Struthio camelus: one gene and its partner. The protein of the gene in region 1 purifies or fractionates together with the protein of each later gene. This does not show direct contact. Links are inferred from orthologs where the notes say so. Each region holds a gene or a part of one and is shown in the gene's direction. Other genes may lie near its edges.

What was found.
Region 2: the proteins of CHD8 (region 1) and KPNA5 purify together in Homo sapiens (affinity purification with mass spectrometry; 3 studies listed by BioGRID and IntAct, with this or other methods). This does not show direct contact. The link is inferred for Struthio camelus from reciprocal best matches to the Homo sapiens genes CHD8 and KPNA5.

What each region holds. Positions count from the first base shown.
Region 1 is NC_090970.1:63,817-73,768, reverse strand, and holds the start of CHD8 (chromodomain-helicase-DNA-binding protein 8), read left to right. Parts: upstream 1-5,712; 5' UTR 5,713-5,765; coding exon 5,766-5,805; intron 5,806-9,088; coding exon 9,089-9,846; intron 9,847-9,952. Other genes in the region: RAB2B (ras-related protein Rab-2B), read left to right, coding at 1-37, 1,586-1,657, 1,748-1,815, 1,938-2,020, 2,109-2,201, 2,354-3,269. UniProt on the Homo sapiens protein: ATP-dependent chromatin-remodeling factor, it slides nucleosomes along DNA; nucleosome sliding requires ATP. Acts as a transcription repressor by remodeling chromatin structure and recruiting histone H1 to target genes.
Region 2 is NC_090944.1:64,278,412-64,287,942, forward strand, and holds the start of KPNA5 (importin subunit alpha-6), read left to right. Parts: upstream 1-5,432; 5' UTR 5,433-5,735; coding exon 5,736-5,739; intron 5,740-6,010; exon of another isoform or gene 6,011-6,238; intron 6,239-7,818; coding exon 7,819-7,952; intron 7,953-9,116; exon of another isoform or gene 9,117-9,132; coding exon of another isoform or gene 9,133-9,227; intron 9,228-9,531. Other genes in the region: ZUP1 (zinc finger-containing ubiquitin peptidase 1), read right to left, coding at 1,416-1,584, 2,356-2,465, 3,415-3,525, 5,000-5,306. UniProt on the Homo sapiens protein: Functions in nuclear protein import as an adapter protein for nuclear receptor KPNB1. Binds specifically and directly to substrates containing either a simple or bipartite NLS motif.

The sequences.
Region 1 (9,952 bases):
GCGTATCTCTTCAAATACATCATCATCGGCGATACCGGTACCGGGCCGGGGGGCAGGAAGGGTCTCTGAGGGGGCAGGAGAGCCTGAAGTGGGGCAGGAAGGGGCTGTGGGGGGGAGAAAGGGGTCTGAGGGGGGAAGGAAGGGTCTCTAGGGAGCACAGGAAGGGGCTCTGGGGGGCAGGATGGGGCTCTGGGGGGCACAGAAAGGGGGTCTGGGGGGCAGAAAAGGGTCTGGGGGCAGGAAGAGGCTCTAGGGAGCACAGGAGGGGCTTTGGGGGGCAAAAAGAGGCTTTGGGGGGACAGGAAGGGGCTCTGAGGGGGCAGGAGGGGGTCTGAGGGGGCAGGAGGGGGTCTGAGGGGGCAGGAGGGGGCTCTGGGGGGGCACAGAAAGGGGGTCTGGGGGCAGGAAGAGGCTCTAGGGAGCACAGGAAGGGACTTTGGGGGGCAAAAAGGGGCTTTGGGGGACAGGAAGGGGTCTGGGGGGGAAGGAAGGGGCTTTGAGGGGGCAGAAAGGGGTCTGAGGGGGCAGGATGGGGCTCTGGGAGGCACAGAAAGGGGCTCTGGGGGGGCAGGATGGGGCTCGAGGGAGGACAGGAAGGGGATTTGGGGGGCAAAAAGGGGCTTTGGGGGGCAGGAAGGGGTCTGGGGTGGAGGAAGAGGTTCTAGGGGGGCAGGAATGGGTCTGGAGGAAAGGAAGGGGCTTTGAAGGCGCAGAAAGGGGCTCTAGGGAGCACAGGAAGGGGCTTTGGGGGGGCAGGAATGGGCTCTGGGGGGCACAGAAAGGGGCTTTAGGGGGGCAGGAGAGGGTTGAAGGAGGCAGGATGGGGCTCTGGGGGGCAGAAAGGGGTCTGGGGGGCAGGAAGGGGCTCTAGGGAGCACAGGAAGGGGATTTGGGGGGCAAAAGGGGGCTTTGGGGGGGCAGGAAGGGGTTGGAGGGGGCAGGATGGGGCTCTGTGGGGGCAGAAAGGGGTCTGGGGTGGAGGAAGAGGCTCTGGGGGAGGCAGGAAGGGGTCTGGAGGGGAAGGAAGGGGCTTTGGGGGGGCAGGATGGGACTCTGGGGGTGCAGAAAGGGGGTCTGAGGGGGCAGGATGGGTTTCGGGGGGGGGTAGAAGAGCCTGAAGTGGGGCAGGAAGGGGCTTTGGAGGGGCAGGAAGGGGTCTAAGGGAGGAGGAAGGGGCTTTAGGGGGGCATGAAGGGCTCTGGGGGACAGGAAAGGGGTTGGGGGGACAAGAGGGGGCTCTGGGGGGACAAGAGGGGGCTTTGGGGGGACAGGAAAGGGGTCTGGGGGGACAGGAAAGGGGTCTGGGGGGAGGAAGGGGCTCTGGGGGGACAAGAGGGGTCTCTGGGGGGGCAGGAAGGGGCTTTAGGGGGGCAGAAGAGCCTGAGGGGGGCAGAAAGGGGTCATTTGGGGGGGGGGATTGAGGGGGGAGGCAAAAGGGGGCCGGTGGCCGGAGGGAGCTGGGGGTGTGGGGAGCAGCCAGGATGTAGGAGAGGGGGGAGAAAACAAGGGGGGAGGTATTTTTGGGGGGAGATCGAGGGCAGCAGTCGCGGAGGGAGCCGGAGCCCGTCCGTCCGTCCGCCCGCAGGCGTCGGCAAGTCCTGCCTGCTGCTGCAGTTCACCGACAAGCGCTTCCAGCCCGTCCACGACCTGACCATCGGTGAGGATCCCGGCCGGAGCGGAGCCCGGCCCCGCGTTTCCCCCGGCTCCTCCGAGCCCGCGTCCGGCAGCCCCGCGCCCTCTCTTGCAGGCGTCGAGTTCGGGGCGCGCATGATCAGCGTCGAGAACAAGCAGATCAAGCTGCAGATCTGGGATACGGTGAGGCCGCGGGGGAGAAAGAAAAAACAGCAGCGTATCGGGACCATCCCTTTTTTTTAAAAAGAAAAAAACAAAAAACTCTCTCTCTCTCTCTATATATATAAATATCTCTCTTTTTCCAGGCTGGACAGGAGTCTTTCCGCTCGATCACGCGTTCCTACTACCGAGGAGCGGCCGGGGCGCTGCTGGTTTACGATATCACCAGGTATCGCCGCCGGCCGCGCTCGCGTCGGCCTCGACGTCGTCCCCCCTCCGCCGCCCCCCACCCCGAATCGCTCTTGGCCCCCGCGCAGGCGCGAGACCTTCAACCACTTGACGTCCTGGCTGGAAGACGCCCGCCAACACTCCAGCTCCAACATGGTCATCATGCTGATCGGGAACAAGAGGTTAAATAAAAACAACAAGAGCGAGTCCGGAGACTCGTCCCGGACTCTAAGAAGGGAGGTTTTTTTGTTTTTTCGTTTTTTTCACCCACCTCACCCCCCCTTTCTTTTCTTGCGTCCTGCCCCTCGGCCGAATCCGTCTCCTGCCTCGGCAGCGACCTGGAGTCGCGGCGGGACGTGCGGAAGGAGGAGGGCGAAGCCTTCGCCCGGGAGCACGGGCTGGTTTTCATGGAGACGTCGGCTAAGACGGCGGCCAACGTCGAAGAGGTGAAGGGATTATTTGGGGGGGGGGGCCGGCGGTTATATAAATACACATACGTATATATTTCTTTATGCTTTCCTGCTCGCCGGTGGGAAATCCCCTCTCAGAGCCACTGGGGGCAGCTGGTTTTCCCTCTTTTTTTTTTTTTTGTTTTTTCCTCCTTTTTTTTCCCCCTTTTTTTCCCCCCTCCTTTTTTTGCCTCTCGTTGGCAGGCGTTTATCGACACGGCCAAGGAGATCTACGGCAAGATCCAGCAGGGCCTGTTCGACGTGAGCAACGAGGTGAGCGCCCGGAGCCGGCGGGGCAGAGGGAAGCGGCGGCTCCCGCTCCCCTCTCTCCCCGATTCTCCTTTTCCAGGCCAACGGCATCAAAATCGGTCCCCAGCAACCCGCGGGGACGGCGCCTTCCTCCGCCGCCCGACACGGCGCTCCGGGCTCGGGAGACGGTTCCGGCTGCTGCTGAACGAATCGCCCCCTTCGTTTTGGGTTGGAGGGAAAAGGAGAGGAAAAAAGACGGCGGCTTCGAGCTGCGTTTCTCGCCGGGGCGGCTCCGCTGCCGCTTCAGCGCCGTCTCCGCTGCCTGTAAACGAGCTTTTTTTTTTTTTTTTTTTTTCTCTTTTTTTGATTTTTCAGTTTTCTTTTTTTAAACGCCGTGACCGCTCGCGGCGTCGTTCGACGCCGGCCGCCTCCGTAAATCCCCCGGCCCAGCCCCGACCACGATGTTTTCGGCACGGGAATTTCCCGCCCCGAACCTCCTCGTCGCCTCTTTCCCGCGAACGATCCCATTTCCCCCCCCAATTTCCCATCTGATTCAATCCCGTTTTCCCACCTGATTCAATCCCTTTCCTCCCCGTTTCCCCCATTTCCCACCCAATTCGATCCCATTTCCCCCCATTTTCCCACCTGATTTGATCCTGTTTCCTCCCTTTTCCCCATTTCCCACCCGACTCAATCCCATTTCCCCCCATTTTCCCCATTTCCCACCCGACTCGATCCTGGTTTCCTCCCCGTTTCCCCCCCATTTTCCCTCCCGATTTGAGCCCGTTTCCTCAGTTTTCCTCATTTTCCCCAGATTCAATCCTGTTTCCCCCCCTTTTTCCCACCCGATTCGGTCCCGTTTCCTCCCCCTCCACCGACACGTTTTCGCTCCGGTGAGGAAAACTACTCGCGGCCGAGCATCAGTTTTGGAGCTGGGGCAGGTTGTTTTGGGTTTTTTTTTTTTCCTCCTCCTCTTTTCACTCGCGCGACGTGCGGCGCTGGAGGGGAGGACGAGCGGTCGGGATAAAGCGCTTTGGCCAAAATCGCAGGGTTTCGCCTTCTTTCTCCTCGCCCCAAAAAACAGAAACACAGCAATTGTGCAGAAAAGCAAAAAAAAAAAAAAAAAAAATATATATATATATATATCTATACACATACACAAAATATACTTTTTTTTTTCTGTTAAACAATGCAGACGTTTCACGTTCACCTGTTCTGCCTTATAAACAGGAACATGAAGTATTTTAAAGGGCTTTTTCCTCATTTTCCTCAAGCATTTCCTTTTTCCGCTATAGGGAAAGATGAAAACTTACAGCAGCAGCAGGATTTTTGCTTTTTTTTGTTTTTCCCCCCATTTTCCTTAAAAAAAAAAACCCCAACAAACAGCTGCTTGAGTTTCAAAAAGGTGGTTTTGGGGTTTTTTTTCCCCCTCTCCCGTCATGAATTTGCGGGGAAACGGTTTTGCCGGGGAAAAGCCGCTTCGGGGACGCCCGAGTTAGGAAAACACCAAAAAGCGGCTGGCGGGGCAGGGTGCTAATTTATCATTTTTTTTACCTCTTTTTTCCCTTATATTTTATTAAATACGAAAACATGCTTTGTTGAGGGCGGAAATGAGCTTTTGGGGGCTCGTTTCGGGCTTTTAAGGGGTTTAGCCGCCTTCGGGCGTCTATTTTACAGCTTTTTATTAAAATAAGAGCCCAAGGTGGGGGGGGGGAGGCACTTTTGAGCTTATTTTCCAGAAAAAAACAAGCTTTTTGAGCTTGTTTTCCGCTTGTTATTTCATTTCCCCCCCACATTATTATTTTGTTTTAAAAGTGGAAATAAGCCGAAGCAGCTCCGTTTGGGGACGGGAGGGGGGGAGGAGGCCGCGGCAGCGCGGAAACGTCGATTTGGGGCGTTTTACCCCTAAAAACAATAAAAACAGCGAGCCGGTAGTGCGGGGAGGGGGGGGGCGCGGAGGGTTTAACGGTTTTTATTTTTAACGCAAAAGGGATGATTTAAAAAAAAAAAAAAAGCCGTTTGTAGGCGGCGACGGAGGGGGAAGCGGGCGGGGGGGGGGGAGCGTCGCCATGGCGGGCAGGGGGTTAAGGGCCGCCGCAAGATGGCGGCGGCGGCGGCGCTTAGGTGCCCGCGGCGCTGCCTGACGGGAGGCGCCGCCTCACGCCGCCCCCTTCCGCCTCGCCGGGCAGCCAGCGCAAGGAAGGCGGCGGCGGCGCCGCAGCGCCGCACACCCGCCGCGGTAAAACACATATATATATATATTTATTTATTTATACTAATTAAAAGGCGGGGAGGGCGGAGTGGGGGGGGGAATGAGCGCAGGCGGCGGCGGCGGGGGGGGGCGCGTCAGGCAGCGCGGCGGCAGCCCCCTCCCCCCCTCAAGCCCCGCGCTAGGCCCCCTCCGCGGCGACTTCCGGGAAGCGGCGCAACCTACCCTGCTGCCGAGGCCACGCCCCCTTCCTTCCTCCCCCCCCTTTTCTCCTCAGCGCTGTCTGTATAAGGGGAGGGGGGCGTGGCCTAGCGCGGGGCGGCGGCCAATAGGGCGGCGGCGCTGGGGAAGGCGGGCGGGGGGGGGGAGCAGCAGGTTGCGTTGCGCCGCGCCCGCGCGGCCGCCTTGTTCTCGCGCTGCCCTGACGGGAGGAGGAGGAGGAGGAGGAGGGGGAGGGGGGGGAGGGAGGCAGCGCCGCGCGCAGGGTGAGGCCACTCGCGGGGCGGGGGGGGGGGGAAAAGAAGAGACGCCCCCCGCCCCCCCCTCCCCGCCGCCACCAGGTAAGACCGACCCCCTCCCCCCCGCCCCCCCCCACCACCACCCCCCCAAAAAAAAACAAAAAAAAAAAACCAAAAAAACCCACCCCCAAAAAGCTATTTTATTTTCCGGTCGGCATAGCGACGCGGCGGTAGGGGGAGGGTATTATGGGATGGCGCCGGCGGAGGTTTTGTCTCTTCCTTCCCGCCTCCCCCCCCCCCCCCCAGCTAGGCGGGATGGTTCAGCCCAGCCCGCTCCCAGCCGCCTATGTGCGGGCGGGGGGAGGGAGGTGGGGCGCGTCCATGTCGCGGCGGCGGCGGGGGGGGCCGTCGCGGAAGGACGGTAGGGCCCCGCGCGCGGGGGGGGGCGGGGGGCACGTGGGCGCGACCGCGCGGCTCCCGTAGCGCGGGGGGGGCGGGAAGGCGGCGGCGGCGGCGGCGGCGGCGGCGGCGGGGGGGGGGACGAGGCGGAAGCGACCCCGTGACTGGGCGGCCCCAGTGCTCCCAGTTCCGTCTTACTGGGAGGCCCGGTGGCCCCAGTTCCCCCTGTAACTGGCCCCCCCAGTGCTCCCAGTTGTTTGTTACTGGGAGGCCCGGTGGCCCCAGTTCCCCCTGTAACTGGGTCCCCCAGTGCTCCCAGTTGCTTGTTACTGGGAGGCCCGGTGGCCCCAGTTCCCCCTGTAACTGGCCCCCCCAGTGCTCCCAGTTCATTATTAGTAGGAGGCCCAGTGCCCCAGTTCCCCCTGTAACCGGGTCCCCCAGTGCTCCCAGTTGCTTGTTACTGGGAGGCCCGGTGGCCCCAGTTCCCCCTGTAACTGGGTCCCCCAGTGCTCCCAGTTCATTATTAGTAGGAGGCCTGGTGGCCCCAGTTCCCCTGCCACTGGGGTCCCCAGTGGCCCCAGTTCCCCCTGTAACTGGGCCCCCCAGTGCTCCCAGTTGCATCTTACTGGGAGGCCCAATGGCCCCAGTTCCCCCTGTAACTGGCCCCCACCAGTAGCCCCAGTTCATTATTAGTAGGAGGCCCAGTGCCCCCAGTTCCCCCTGTAACTGGGGCCCCCAGTGCTCCCAGTTGCTTATTACTGGGAGGCCTGGTGGCCCCCCAGTGCCCCCTGTAACTGGGGTCCCCAGTGGCCCCAGTTCTTTCTGTAACTGGGGTCCCCAGTAGCCCCAGTTCCCCTGTGACTGGCCCCCCCCAGTGCTCCCAATTGCGTCTTACTGGGAGGCCCAGTGCCCCCAGTTCCCCTGCAACTGGGAGTCCCAGTTCCCCTGCCACTGAGGCCCCCAGTGCCCCCAGTTCCCCCTGTAACTGGGTCCCCAGTGCTCCCAGTTCATTATTAGTAGGAGACCTAGTGCCTCCAGTTTTCCTTGTAACTGGGGCCCCCAGTGCTCCCAGTTGCTTATTACTGGGAGGCCCGGTGGCCCCCCAGTGCCCCCTGTAACTGGGGTCCCCAGTAGCCCCAGTTCCCCTGTGACTGGGCCCCCCTAGTGCTCCCAGTTGCGTCTTACTGGGAGGCCCAGTGCCCCAGTTCCCCTGCAACTGGGAATCCCAGTTCCCTTGCGAGTGGGCCCCCAGTGCCCCCAGTTCATTATTAGTAGGAAGCCCAGTAGTCCCAGTTCCCCTGAAACTGGAGCCCCAGTGCCCCCAGTTCCCTGTGACTGGGAGGCCCAGTGCCCCCAGTCCCTCTGTGACTGGGAGGCCCAGTGCTGCCCAGTCCCTTGTTACTGGGAGGCCCAGTATCCCCCAGTTCCTTATTACTGGGCGGCCCAGTGCCCCCAGTCCCCCTGATACTGGGCACCCCAGTGCCCCCAGTTTCCCTGCAACTGGGCACCCCGCCCCCTTGCGACTGGGCACCCCAGTCCCCCCAGTCCCCCTGATACTGGGCACCCTAATTCTCCCAGTTCCCTTCTTACTGGGCACCCCATTGCCCCCCGCTCCTTTCTTACTGGGCACCCCAGTGCCCCTGATACTGGGCACCCAGTGCCCCCAGTTCCCCCTCTTACTGGGCACCCCAGCACCTCCCATTCCCCGATTAATGGGCGTTCTCCCTCTAGCCCGCCCCCCCCATGACTGGCCACCCCAGGGCCCCCGTGCCTGCCCTCCCAGTGCTCCCAGTGCCCCCGTGCCTGGCCCTCCCAGTGCTCCCAGCACCCCCCCCCATGATGGATTTTCGCTCCGGCGTCGCCTCGCCCTGAGTCACCGCCGAGCCGGGCAGCTCCCGTGACGCCCTGCGTCGCTCCGGGCCCCGTTTTCGGGGGGGGGGGGAGGCGGTGCGGATGCCCGGCTGCCAGGCGGTGTGTTTTTTTGGGGGGGGGGGGAAGGAAGCAGCAGCCGGTAACCGGACCCGGCTCCGCCTGGGCCCCCCCCCCCCCGCCCCGGGGAGGAAGCGGCGGCTGCAGGACGGGGAGGGGGGTGCGCGGGAGCCGGGCGGCGAGGGGGATCGGGGGGGGGGTCTGGGGGGGGTTGCAGGGGGTCTGGGAGGGGATTGCATGGAGCTGGGGGGGGGGTTGCAGGGGTCTGGGGGGGCAGGAAGGGATCTGGGGGGGTTGCAGGGGTCTGGGGGGGATTGCATGGAGCTAAGGGGGGTTGCAGGAGTCTTGGGGGGTGTTGCGGGGGTCTGGGGGGGTTGCAGGGGGTCTAGGAGGGGATTGCATGGAGCTGGGGGGTTGCAGGGGGTCTGGGGGGGTTGCAGGGGGTCTGGGGGGGATTGCATGGAGCTGGGGGGTTGCAGGGGGTCTAGGAGGGGATTGCATGGAGCTGGGGGGGTTGCAGGGGGTCTGGGGGGGTTGCAGGGGGTCTAGAGAGGGATTGCATGGAGCTGGGGGGTTTGCAGGGGGTCTAGGGGGGCAGGAGGGGATCTGGGGGGGTTGCAGGGGGTCTGGGGAGGATTGCAGAGGGTCTGGGGGGATTGCATGGGGTCTGGGGGGCAGGAGGGGACTGCAGGGGGTCTGGGGGGGATTGCAGGGGTCTGGGGGGGTTGCATGGAGCTGGGGGGATTGCAGGGGGTCTAGGGGGGCAGGAGGGGATCTGGGGGGGTTGCAGGGGGTCTGGGGGGGATTGCAGGGGTCTGGGGGGATTGCATGGGGTCTGGGGGACAGGAGGGGACTGCAGGGGGTCTGGGGGGGATTGCAGGGGTTTGGGGGTATTGCATGGTGTCTGGGGGGCAGCTGGGGGTCTGGGGGGGATTGCAGGGGTTCTGGGGGGATTGCAGGGGGTCTGGGGGGGTTGCAGGGATCTGGGGGGTTTGCAGGGGGTCTGGGGGGGTTGCAGGGGTTTGGGGGGGATTGCAGGGGGTCTGGGGGGAGTTGCAGGGGGTCTGGGGGGATTGCAGGGGGTCTGGGGGGCAGGAGGGGGTTGCAGGGGTCTGGGGGGGTTGCAGGGGGTCTGGGGAACAGGAAGGGGCTGTGCGGGGTCTGGGGGGTTTGCAGGGGGTCTGGGGGGATTGCAGGGGGTCTGGGGGGCAGGAGGGGGTCCGGGGGTAGGAGAGGGGGGTCTAGGGGGGTAGGAGGGGATTTGGGGGGGGTAGGAGGGATTGCAGGGGGTCTGGGGGGGCAGGAGGGGGTCGGGGTTGGGGTGAGGGCGGTGGGGGCACAGGACGGCGGCTGAACCGCCCGCGCTCTCCCCGCAGCCGGGACCGCCGGGCCGCCGGGCCGCCCCGGCGCCATGGCCGACCCCATCATGGACCTCTTCGACGACCCCAACCTCTTCGGCCTGGACGCCCTGACGGACGACGGCTTCGCCCCGGCCCCCCACGACCCCATCGAGGAGGCGCTGGGGTTGGCGGGGGCCTTGGAGGAGCCGCCGCCGCCTCCTCCTCTTCCTCCTCCTCTTCCTCCTCCGCCGCCGCCGCCGTCCGACGCCGCCCCGGCGGAGACGCCGCCGCCCGAGGAGACGCCGGCGGCCCCGGCGCCCGACGCCGCCCCGACGGACGCCCCCGCGCCGCCCGAGCAGGACGTGTTGAGCCAAGGCAACCCCTTCATGGGGGTGGCCGCCCCGGCGCCTTCCTCCTCCTCCTCCTCGCCCGCCGCTCTGCCCGCTCCCAAAATCGTCATCCTCAAAGCCCCGGCCGGGGGCTCGGCGGCCGGCGCTCACGTGGCGCAGCTCCAAGCGCCGGCCCAGCCGCTGGCGGCGGCGGCGGCCAACGGCGGCAAGGTGACCTTCGCCAAAGTGTTGACGGGTACGCCGCTCCGGCCCGGCGTCTCCATCGTTTCCGGCAACGCCGTGTTAGCCGGTAAAGTGACGCCGGCCGGGCCGGGCGCCGCCACCGTCCATCGTTTGGTCCAACCCGGCCGACCCGTGAAACAGCTGGTGCTGCAACCCGTGAAGCCGCCGGGCGCCGGGACGCCGCTGAAACCGGCCGTCACCCTCACGTCGGCTCCCGCCCAGGTGAGAGCGGCCGGCTGGGCCGTGGAGAAACATCTCCCGTAGCTTCGGTGGTGGTGGTGGTGGTGGTGGCATGGTAGTGGTGGTGGTGGTGACGTTGGCATGGCAG
Region 2 (9,531 bases), on another chromosome or scaffold:
CCAAAATCAAAGTTTACACCCATTAAATGAATTACAGAATTTTTCAGAAATAGATTCTTACCCAGCTTGAAACAATTCATGTCAAAATTTCTAGGTGATCCTACATTAGATCTAGAACATGGATCATAAAGACACTGGACAATACACTTCTTATGCTCTTTATCTCAATGAATCTATGTACTATGAAGTGTCAAGAATTCAAAATACTTTTTCCACTGCTACTACACAGAGGATATTTAAAATTAAACAGTTTGGACTATGTATAAAATGTGATCTGCACAAGAAACGTTATTATGAAACAGAAAAGTACTATTCACCAGTAAAGCCCCTACCTCACCTTCACCTCCAACACAATATCCCTTACACACACAGAAATACTTATGGATACTATGTAACCCTTATATTCCCCTCCAAATCTTTTTTTCCTGGAGAAACTAAGGCAAGAAAAGGAGTGGCCAAGCACTTGAGAATTATCATAAATATTTTAAGAAAATACACTGGAAGGGATGTTACAAATCCTTCTTTACTACATAAAAGAACGGTTGGAAATTTTCTTTCCTATTTGGACATATAAGTGCTCAACAGCCCTTTATTGCTGAGCTACTTGTCAAGGCAAACACTTTTTTTTTTAGCCATTACAGATTCCTCTCTGAAGTCCAAATGGCTATCAAGAACGACTACATTGAATGTATTAACTCCACACAATACATTTTCTAGAAGAAATTTCAGTTTACCTGTCAAGACACAAATGGATATTTTGTAACCCCGAGTTAGCAACATAAGTTGAAACACCTCCGAATTGTGGTCTTGGCAAGAAAAGACAGAAAAGCCTGTCGGGCCTTAAACGGGCATTGAGACTATATTTTTGAAAAATTGAAAAACATTTCAGAGAATATATAACAAGTAGATATCCAGACTAGTGCAGTCTTTTCTTGGACTTAGTAATTCGGATGAACATGGCGCTTAATCTGAGTCAAATTTCAACTGATATTATCATCAACTTTTTGTCTTCTGTTTCAGTTACCATAATTGGGAACAGCTAGCTAGGTTAGGAAGCAGAAAATACTAAGAAGTAAACAAACATACCCTCGGGTAAAACAACCTTGTAATACCAAATGCAAACCATATCGTATCTGATCCCTTAAAGAGGCAACTTGATTCCAAGAAAGAAAAAAAAAAAGTCTTCAGCTTAGAATAAAGATTAGAAACATACCAAGCTCATATTTAGTTATTAGTTTAGGACTACGATGTGACAGGTCATTTACCAATCTAGAAAATAACATGTTGAAGTAAGATGCAACCAATATTAAACGTCCAATTATCCAAGTAGTGAAACGCTTTATTAAAAACAGCTTTGGTCACTACAGCATAGGCCTAAAAAGTACACTCTTAGTTGTATAACTTCAGCAGTTTACCTGAGGTCTTTGTTTTGCCATCATCTATACCAAAAGCCAAAGATTCCATCATGTCAGCTTTTCTCTTGTGATATTCAAAAGGCTGCATCCTTCCTCTGTCAACTTCCCTTTCCATATTCTTTAGCAATTGCTGCTTATAGCCTCCAGAATTATCCAAGCCATATTGTCTCTGTTAGGGATGGAATGTTAATCATTAAGATTACGTTTTTTTAAATACACATTCATTAATGACTTAGAAAAGACATACACAATCAGTAGTGCGGAAAAATAGTAAGCAGTGAGATAAAAATCTCCCGATTCATGCGATTTTAATGCTGAAGGCCAAACTCCACTGCAGACCAGGATCATAAGTCTAGGAGAGCCATCCCCAGGAGAGCAGACACCTCCCTCTGCTCTCTCTTGGTCAGACAGCCATCGGCACAGAGGCAGTCAATGGCCAAGAGGTAGCAAGAGAGGGTGGTGAAGCTATTAGGGCTGTTAGGGGGGAGGGACAGGGACATCAGGAGCTAGCAGCGAGGATCTGGGGCCAAGTACGTACCAAAATATGCAATGGTGTCCAGGAAGAGGATAGACAGGATACTCAAGGACTCAAGTAACACAACTCAAGGCAGAGCAAGAGACACGCCAGGGCAGCACAGCATATGCATGGAGTCCTGCAGTGCACGGGCCTCCTCCTGGGCCAGCATCACTCATAGCAGTAGAGCCAAGCAGCTCAAGGCACGCATGCTCAGCACCAGTGCCAGGCTCAGGGTTGCTGAGGGTTTGCATCTGCCTGCAGCGCACTCCTGCATCACTGTCTCAGTACAGCCTGGCTGGCTGTGCAGATCTGACCCGGCACAGCTATCGTTATTTTCAAGAAACGAAACGTTACAGTTTCAAGGTACCTAGCCTCTAATTGCACAACTCTTCCAAATTGTATCATTTAGAAGTATTACTGCACCTGTAGCTTTTTAAATTCTTCTCTCTCTCGCCTCTCTTCTTCTGACCTTTGCTGTTTGTCTTCTTCAGTCTGGAGCCGCTGAGCAAGTTCTAGATCTCTTAAGTTTCCACCTACCCAGGAATAATATTTTACAAAGAGAAGACTTGCTCAGGAGGTTAACAATGCTTTGAATAACCATTTGTTTGATCTTTAAAAATTCTTCTGTAAGTAGACAAACATAAAAACACCTATGTATTAATTTTAGGAGATGCATCCCACGCGATATTGAGATATTAGCAAAGAATACTAGGTAACACCAACGACATTCAGTCTACCAGGACTCAGCTTTCTGATTTACACAAAGATTATGCAGGGTTATAAGGACAGTGATTTTGCCAATAACACATGTACCTCTACTACTAAGAAAACACCTTTTGTTTACTATGTTTCACTTGATTTGTCAGCAAGAAATCCTAATTTGCTGAGTATCACAGATAGCAATGATCCTAGAAGCTCGCAATCTCATAATGACGAGGTGACACAAACAAGCTTAGGGTTGGAGAACTGGACAGAAAACCCATAGGGGGGAAACTGCTAAGAAAAGCAAACTTATTTTGATTCTTTTCATTATCTCTATAACTAGGTAATCAGCACAACCATTTAGAGAAGAGAATTGGAAAAAAAAATTAGAAATTTTAATAAGCTGTTGCTTTTAAACTCATGTTACGCTAGAGTGTGCCAATCCAAGTTCCACATATGTAAATCTTCTATAGAGCTGGGGAAAAAAATGGTAATTTGTAAAATATTTTTCCCTCTAAGTTTTATTTTGCCCATGATAGAGCACATTTATTTAATAAACCTGCACAGACAGATACTTCTTTTAGCATGTGCAATTAAACAGAGCACTCAAGCATGTGATAGGACTTGCTATTCACTATGTTAATTACATTAGGGAGGCACAGTTTTCTTTTAAAATAAGGAAATATTTAGTTGAAATTTTGCCTTTGCCTAAGATTCTATACAGCAACAGACAGTTTAAAACACTCTCAAATACTATCAAGCTTACATCCTTTCACATACCTTCTGAAAAGCTATGTTCCTCTAAGTGTAAATCCACGTGTTCTTGGAGAATCTGAACATCTGTACAGGTAAGACTGCACATTGGACATTCATACAGCTGTTCGCCATTTTCTGTGTTTGAAAAAGAATTGCCATTTCATGCTTGATATAATTCTTTTTTCTTCTTCTTTTGCAAGAATCATCCCCTTCATTGATGTACATAGTCCATAATGCACAATGTACATAAATACACAGTAACGAATTTGGTACTATTAAATTCCCCACGGAGAGACAACAAAACACCTACAGCTCTCTTAACCTAGAGCAAAATATAATTAAGGATTCATACTTAAGAATTCATATTTAAATACCTGACAAGTTCATCGTAAGAGAGATTTTCTTTCTTTTTCCGAACAAGTTTTTCCCCTTTTAACCTACAGATCACTATTTGCTGTGATAATACTTGCACTTAGTCTGAAATACTAGATGTTTAATAAAAACATCTGTCCTGCTAATGGAGGAATGCTTGCTTATAATTCTTTAATGTTTGTGTGATAATACAGCAGCTGGTACACAACAAAAATAAAGTTAAAACGTCTTCTCATTCTTATTTTGTTGTTTTATCTGCATCTCCTGAAATAAATAGTCTGTCTGTAGTTTTAGTATTACTAAAGAGTATCACAGAATCTTAGAATAGTTTAGGTTGGACAGAACCTCTGGAGATGATCTAGACGAGCCCTCTGCTCATAGTATGGTCAAGCAGAACAGGTTAGGTTGCCCAGGACCACGTCCAGGTAAGTTTTGAATATCTCAAAGGACACCCCCTCATCAACCTCTCTGGACATCCTGTTCCAGTGTTTGACCACTCTCAAAATGTAAAAAAACCCAACCAACCACACAAACAAAAACAACAAAAGAACCCCACTTATGTGTAAATAAAACTTCCTGTATTTCAATTTGTCCGTATTGCCTGTTGGCCTACCACTGGGCACTACTGAGAAGAGCATGGCTCCACTTTTACTGCTCCCATGAAATATTTATACACACTGATGAGATTCTACCCCCGGCTAAGCCTTCTCTTCTCCAGGCTGAACAGTCCCAGCTCCCTCAGCCTCTCCTCCTACCAGAGATGCTCCAAGTCCCTTAATCTTTTTCGTAGCGCTTCACTGGACTCGCTCCAGCAGGTCCATGTCTCTCTTGCACTAGGGAGCCCAGCACTAGACAGAGCACTCCAGGTGCAGCCTCAACTGTACTGAGCTGAACAGACTCTTCAAGAGACTCTCCCTATCAGCTTCACTGTTTGCCTCCACGAGCGATCCTGGAGTACTCGAGCCAGTTCCTCTGCAAGAGGCCCTTGGGGAGCGCCCCCAAGGCCCTGCAGCCGCAACAGGGCGCTCAGTGCCTTAGACGGGGAATAAAACCGCCACAGCGCCCAAAGCGCGACTCTCGGCACCACCCCCGGCGTTTGCCCTCCGCACCTCACCGAGGCGGCCGCGACCAGCGCTAACCTCAGCACGGAGCCAAGCAGGACGCCGAGGCTCCCTGCTGGGCGCACGGCCCGGCCCGGCCCGCCGGGGGCCGCGGCAGGCCGCCCGCCGCCGCTCACCTGTTCCCGGGAGGCCCAGCAGGTGCCCGTGCCGCGCCCTCACGTGCGCCTCCAGCTCCCGGCCCGCCGCCGCCTCCCCGCAGAAAGGGCACTCAGGCGGCTCCGGGGCGGGCTCGGCGCAGCGGGCGCCCGGCGGCCCCGGCTCCGGGTGCGCCGCCTCGATGTGCCGGTGGAGCTCGTCGTAGCCCGGAGCGGCGGCACCGCAAAGCGGGCAGCGGGGCAGGCGCTCCAGGTGCGTGCGCCGCAGGTGCCGCCGCACCGCCGCCTCCGAGGGCAGCGCCTGCCCGCAGATATCGCACACCAGCATCGCGGCGGCGCCGCCGCCGCCGCCAACGGCCGCCAACCGCCCCAACGCGGAAATCGAAACACTCTCGACTTCCGCCCCACGGCTGCCCGAACCCGCCGCCGGCGGAACCACGTCACGCGCCTGCGCAGTGCCACAGCCAGTGAATTCTGGGAAGTGTCATTTTCTCGCTGGGGCTGCCCCAGGCGTTTCCTCCACCCACCACCCCTACCCCTCCCGGCCCGGCCCGGCCTGCCGCCGGCGCGCAGAGCCTGCTGGGAGCGGAGAGCCGCCCACCAGCCGGTGCGGAGCGCGGCGGGGCGGCGTCCGCCATCTTGAACTGCGAGTCGTCGCTGGGTGCTGCGCTGCGAGGAGGAGCGGAGCGGAGAGGGGTTATCTCGCCGGGGGGGACGGCGCCAGTGGTCGACGTGGGCGCTTTCCGTCTCCGCTTCAATGGGTAAGAGAGACGGAGCACCGAAAGCCGATGGGTAGAAGAAGGAGCTGTTCGCCGCTGGCGGGGAGCGGTCTGCTCTGCCTGGCCGGCCCGGCCCGGCCGGCGGCGGCGGCAGGGCGGGAGACTCGGTCCCCGCCGGTCGGCGCGGTCAGGGCCGGGGCGGAGTCCTGCCGTGCTGTTCCCTGCCGCCTCCCCCGCCGGTGGGCTGCTTCCTCCGGTCTCCGTGCCCCGTTGCCCGGGCGGTGGGGAGGGAGCCTTTTCCACTCCCTTTCAGAGGACGTGGGTGAAATGCGTCGTTGATCTGTCTCTCTGGCCGGCGAGGGGACTGGCGGTGTGGCACAGCCGAGCACCGGCTCTCGTCGTTTGGCGGCCCGTGCAGCCTCCCTCAGCTCTGCGGGACGGGGAAGCGGCGGCGATCCTGCACGGCCCGGTGCTTGGGGAGCCTGATGTGACAGGGAGAAAAGATCTGTTTCTCAGGCAGGTCTTAGTCTAGGCACAACAGGTGGGTGTGATACACAGTGTGGCTGGTGGAGGGATTTAGTGCTAAAGTGAGTACGGTTTAGCAGGGAAGTTCAAAATTTCTTGAATGTAGATGCAAAAGTTGTGAAGCATGAACAGATAGGGACTTCCAGTTTTTCCGACTGTATAACACCCATGAAAAATCTTTGTCGGCACGAGGGTATAATTTTGTTGGATTACTTTTAACCTAGCACTTCTGTTTGTTTATTGCTTGGCCTGACAGTTTTATTGGCACAACTGAATTGGCAGGACATGAATGGCTAGAGAGGTGAAGTGTTCTGGAACTAGTTAAGCCAGTCTTGTCCAAAAAATGCTCTTGTGAAATTGTACCTCGAAAGTCACAAGACAGTTACAGGAAAATTACTTCGGAAGGTGGCTCAGTTAGCCGTGGTCCAGAGATGGCAGTAGTTTACCAGGGCTCTCACCAGCCTAATGCGTTTGGGTGGAACAGGCTGCTCAGTCCTCGGAGTGTCTTGTTGGTGCTAACCTAAATCTGTGGACTGATATCCTCTCGTGGCTGGTGTTTGTTACTGAGCAGCCCTCGATACTGATATAACAAAGCCTCAGCATGAGAACGGCCTGCAGCTCAAGAACTGTAGTTCAAATATTCTTATGCCTTAGCTGTTCTTTTGTTGTGAAAGAATTCCAGACAAATCAGTTTGCTTAGAGTCTTGAATCGTATTTTTCACAATTAATTATTTGTCAGATGAAAGCTTCAGTTTCAGCTTTAAAAACAAGCACCTTGCTGTTAAACAAATTTTGTCAGTCAGTTACATTTGATCATTTCAGTGACAGAATCGTGCTGCGTCACTTTTATCTTTCCAGAACCAATATGCCAAAGTTGACAGGCAGATACTAATCTTCATTATACATCAGAAGAACTGATAATTAAAATGAGTCAATCACTTTGTTAGTTTAAAATGGAAAAGGATAGACCTATCTGGGTGCTATTGACCCTTAATTTGGTTTCTCTGCAGTGTTTTTGTTTTTCTATATATAGATGAGAGAAGAAAATGTAAGATAACTTTTAGATCCTTTATTATGTTTTTGAGGTAGGCATCTTAAAAAAGTGAAGAGACAGTACCGTATGATGTTAAATGAAGGAATAATTATTGCAAGTTTTCTTCTTGGATTTGTTTTTATTTTATTTTATTTTATTTTGATACACCTAATTCTTCCTTTTGAAGAGGAGGAAGTGAATTCCTGTACTTGCTGATAGAGTGGCAGACAATTATTCCCTTAAATTTTAGATCAAAATTTAGCAGTGTAGTGTTCTCGGTGTTTGTGTCTCGTAAGACAAGCAACTTAATTTTGAGTACTTTAAGCCATTTAATTAAGTGCCTGATCCCTGAGAGGAACTGTAGTTTAATCTGCAATTAAAAATGCATATCTAGGCAATGATTTTTCTCTAATTTCTATTTTGAAGATTTTTTTGAATGAACTAGGCATTGCTTACAACTGCAGGAATACATTTTGCTGCTATGGGTATTTTTGCAGTAAAAGAGATGGCAGGTTTGTCCTTTAAGGCTTGGCCTTTTGAGGTAATTTTTCTTTTTTTAATAGACAACATGGCAAGCCCAGGGAAAGATAACTTCAGAATGAAAAGCTACAAGAATAATGCGCTCAATCCCCAAGAAATGCGTAGGCGAAGGGAAGAGGAAGGAATCCAGCTTCGGAAACAAAAAAGGGAAGAGCAGGTAAGCCTCTCAATGAGATATTAACTGTTAAGGGTTTATGAAGTTATAGTCAGGTCGGTGAAGGGATTCGAGCAGGCTCCTGTGGAGTAGAATCCAGAGAACCAGGCTAAATATCCGCTTTCTGTGCGATCTTGGTGAGTGCCAGGCACCTTTCCGTAGGATCGTAAAACAAAGAAGTGAACAGAGGCCCTCTTAAGTCATTGGGGAATACCAATGAGAAATCCATATCTTAAGTTTAATCTCTACTCTAAGTTCAGACATATAAGAGCTGGGTGAAAGGAGGAGCTTAATTCAGATAAGGTTTCAACATTCTCTTCTAGAGTTTGGGCCGAAGTTGTACTGTTAAAAGTGAGAGGGTTATTTTGTCTTGGAACCCATGCCTCAAATTGCTCAAGAGCTTTTCATAAAGTAGGTTAGTACTGTGGCTTCCAAATGACAGTCCCTAAACTATTTTAAATAATATTTTCAGTTGTTGTCATTGAATTTTTAGTGATGAGAGTACATAGAGTATTGTGTAATTTTATGGCTGGCAGTAGTCCCTGTTCCCCAAATGTTTCAGAATTCTTTTCCAGGAAAGCAAGGAAAGGTTTGTTATTCTCCTTGGTTTCAAGTGGCTGACTCCTGTCTCCCACAACCTAGAGAGTGTCCCAGGCACTGATCTACAGCCTCCTCTGAGGTGGGAATGCTTACCCTTCTCCTGGGAAAGTGATGCTGGAAAATGAATTTAAATTAGTTGGGCCAGAGAGGTAAGAGTAAGAAGTAGTAAGGTAATGGAGCATTTACTTGTGAATGGGTTCACCTGAATGTTAGTATCTCCTGAAAGGTTTGTTTGTGTATTTTTCTAGTAAATTATTCTCAGATAAATTATAAGAATAGTAGGTGGTCCTTGTCTCATGCTGAGTGTCGTCCGACTGAGAATATTCTTGTGGTGTCTTTCTTCTTAATTTCTGGAATAGTATTTTCAGCTCCTCTCACACTGAGGGAACAAATTATACAAGAAAAAGATTGCTTTTGTGCCAGGTAAAGTTAGAACTGGTAGATGCACTGTGCTTGTAAACAGAGCAGTTAACAGGTTTCAACCAAGAGCTTCCACGCTCTTGCTGAGTGCTAGAAAGAATGGCTGATCTTACAAAAGAACAATATTGTCTCTCCTTCCATTTCTAGGTTTCAGTGGAATTGAATGCAATTGTTTTGTGTCCAGGATTATACCGAATTTGGGAGTTGTGCGTTGAACAAGAGAGAGCATGCGTTTTGTTTTAAGATCCTCTTTGACATGTGGGTAGAAGTAAATATGGAGTTGCTTAAGCAGTTTTGGCCATGTGCCATAGCAGAAATGTAGGTGTCTAGACAACTTTGAAGACAAAATCTTCAGGATTAAGTAGGCTGTTTCGTTATTATACTTAAGAGGTGAAATCCTAGACAGTGAATAGATTGAGATTTTAACATTTATTTTTAAAGATATTGTCATAGTATTCGTAGAATGGTTAATTATAATAGTTGTAAGTGTAGTACTGAATTGAAGATACAAATACAGGTTTGGTTTCTAGAAGCAAAACAGGCTAATGTGAATGTTCTGTTT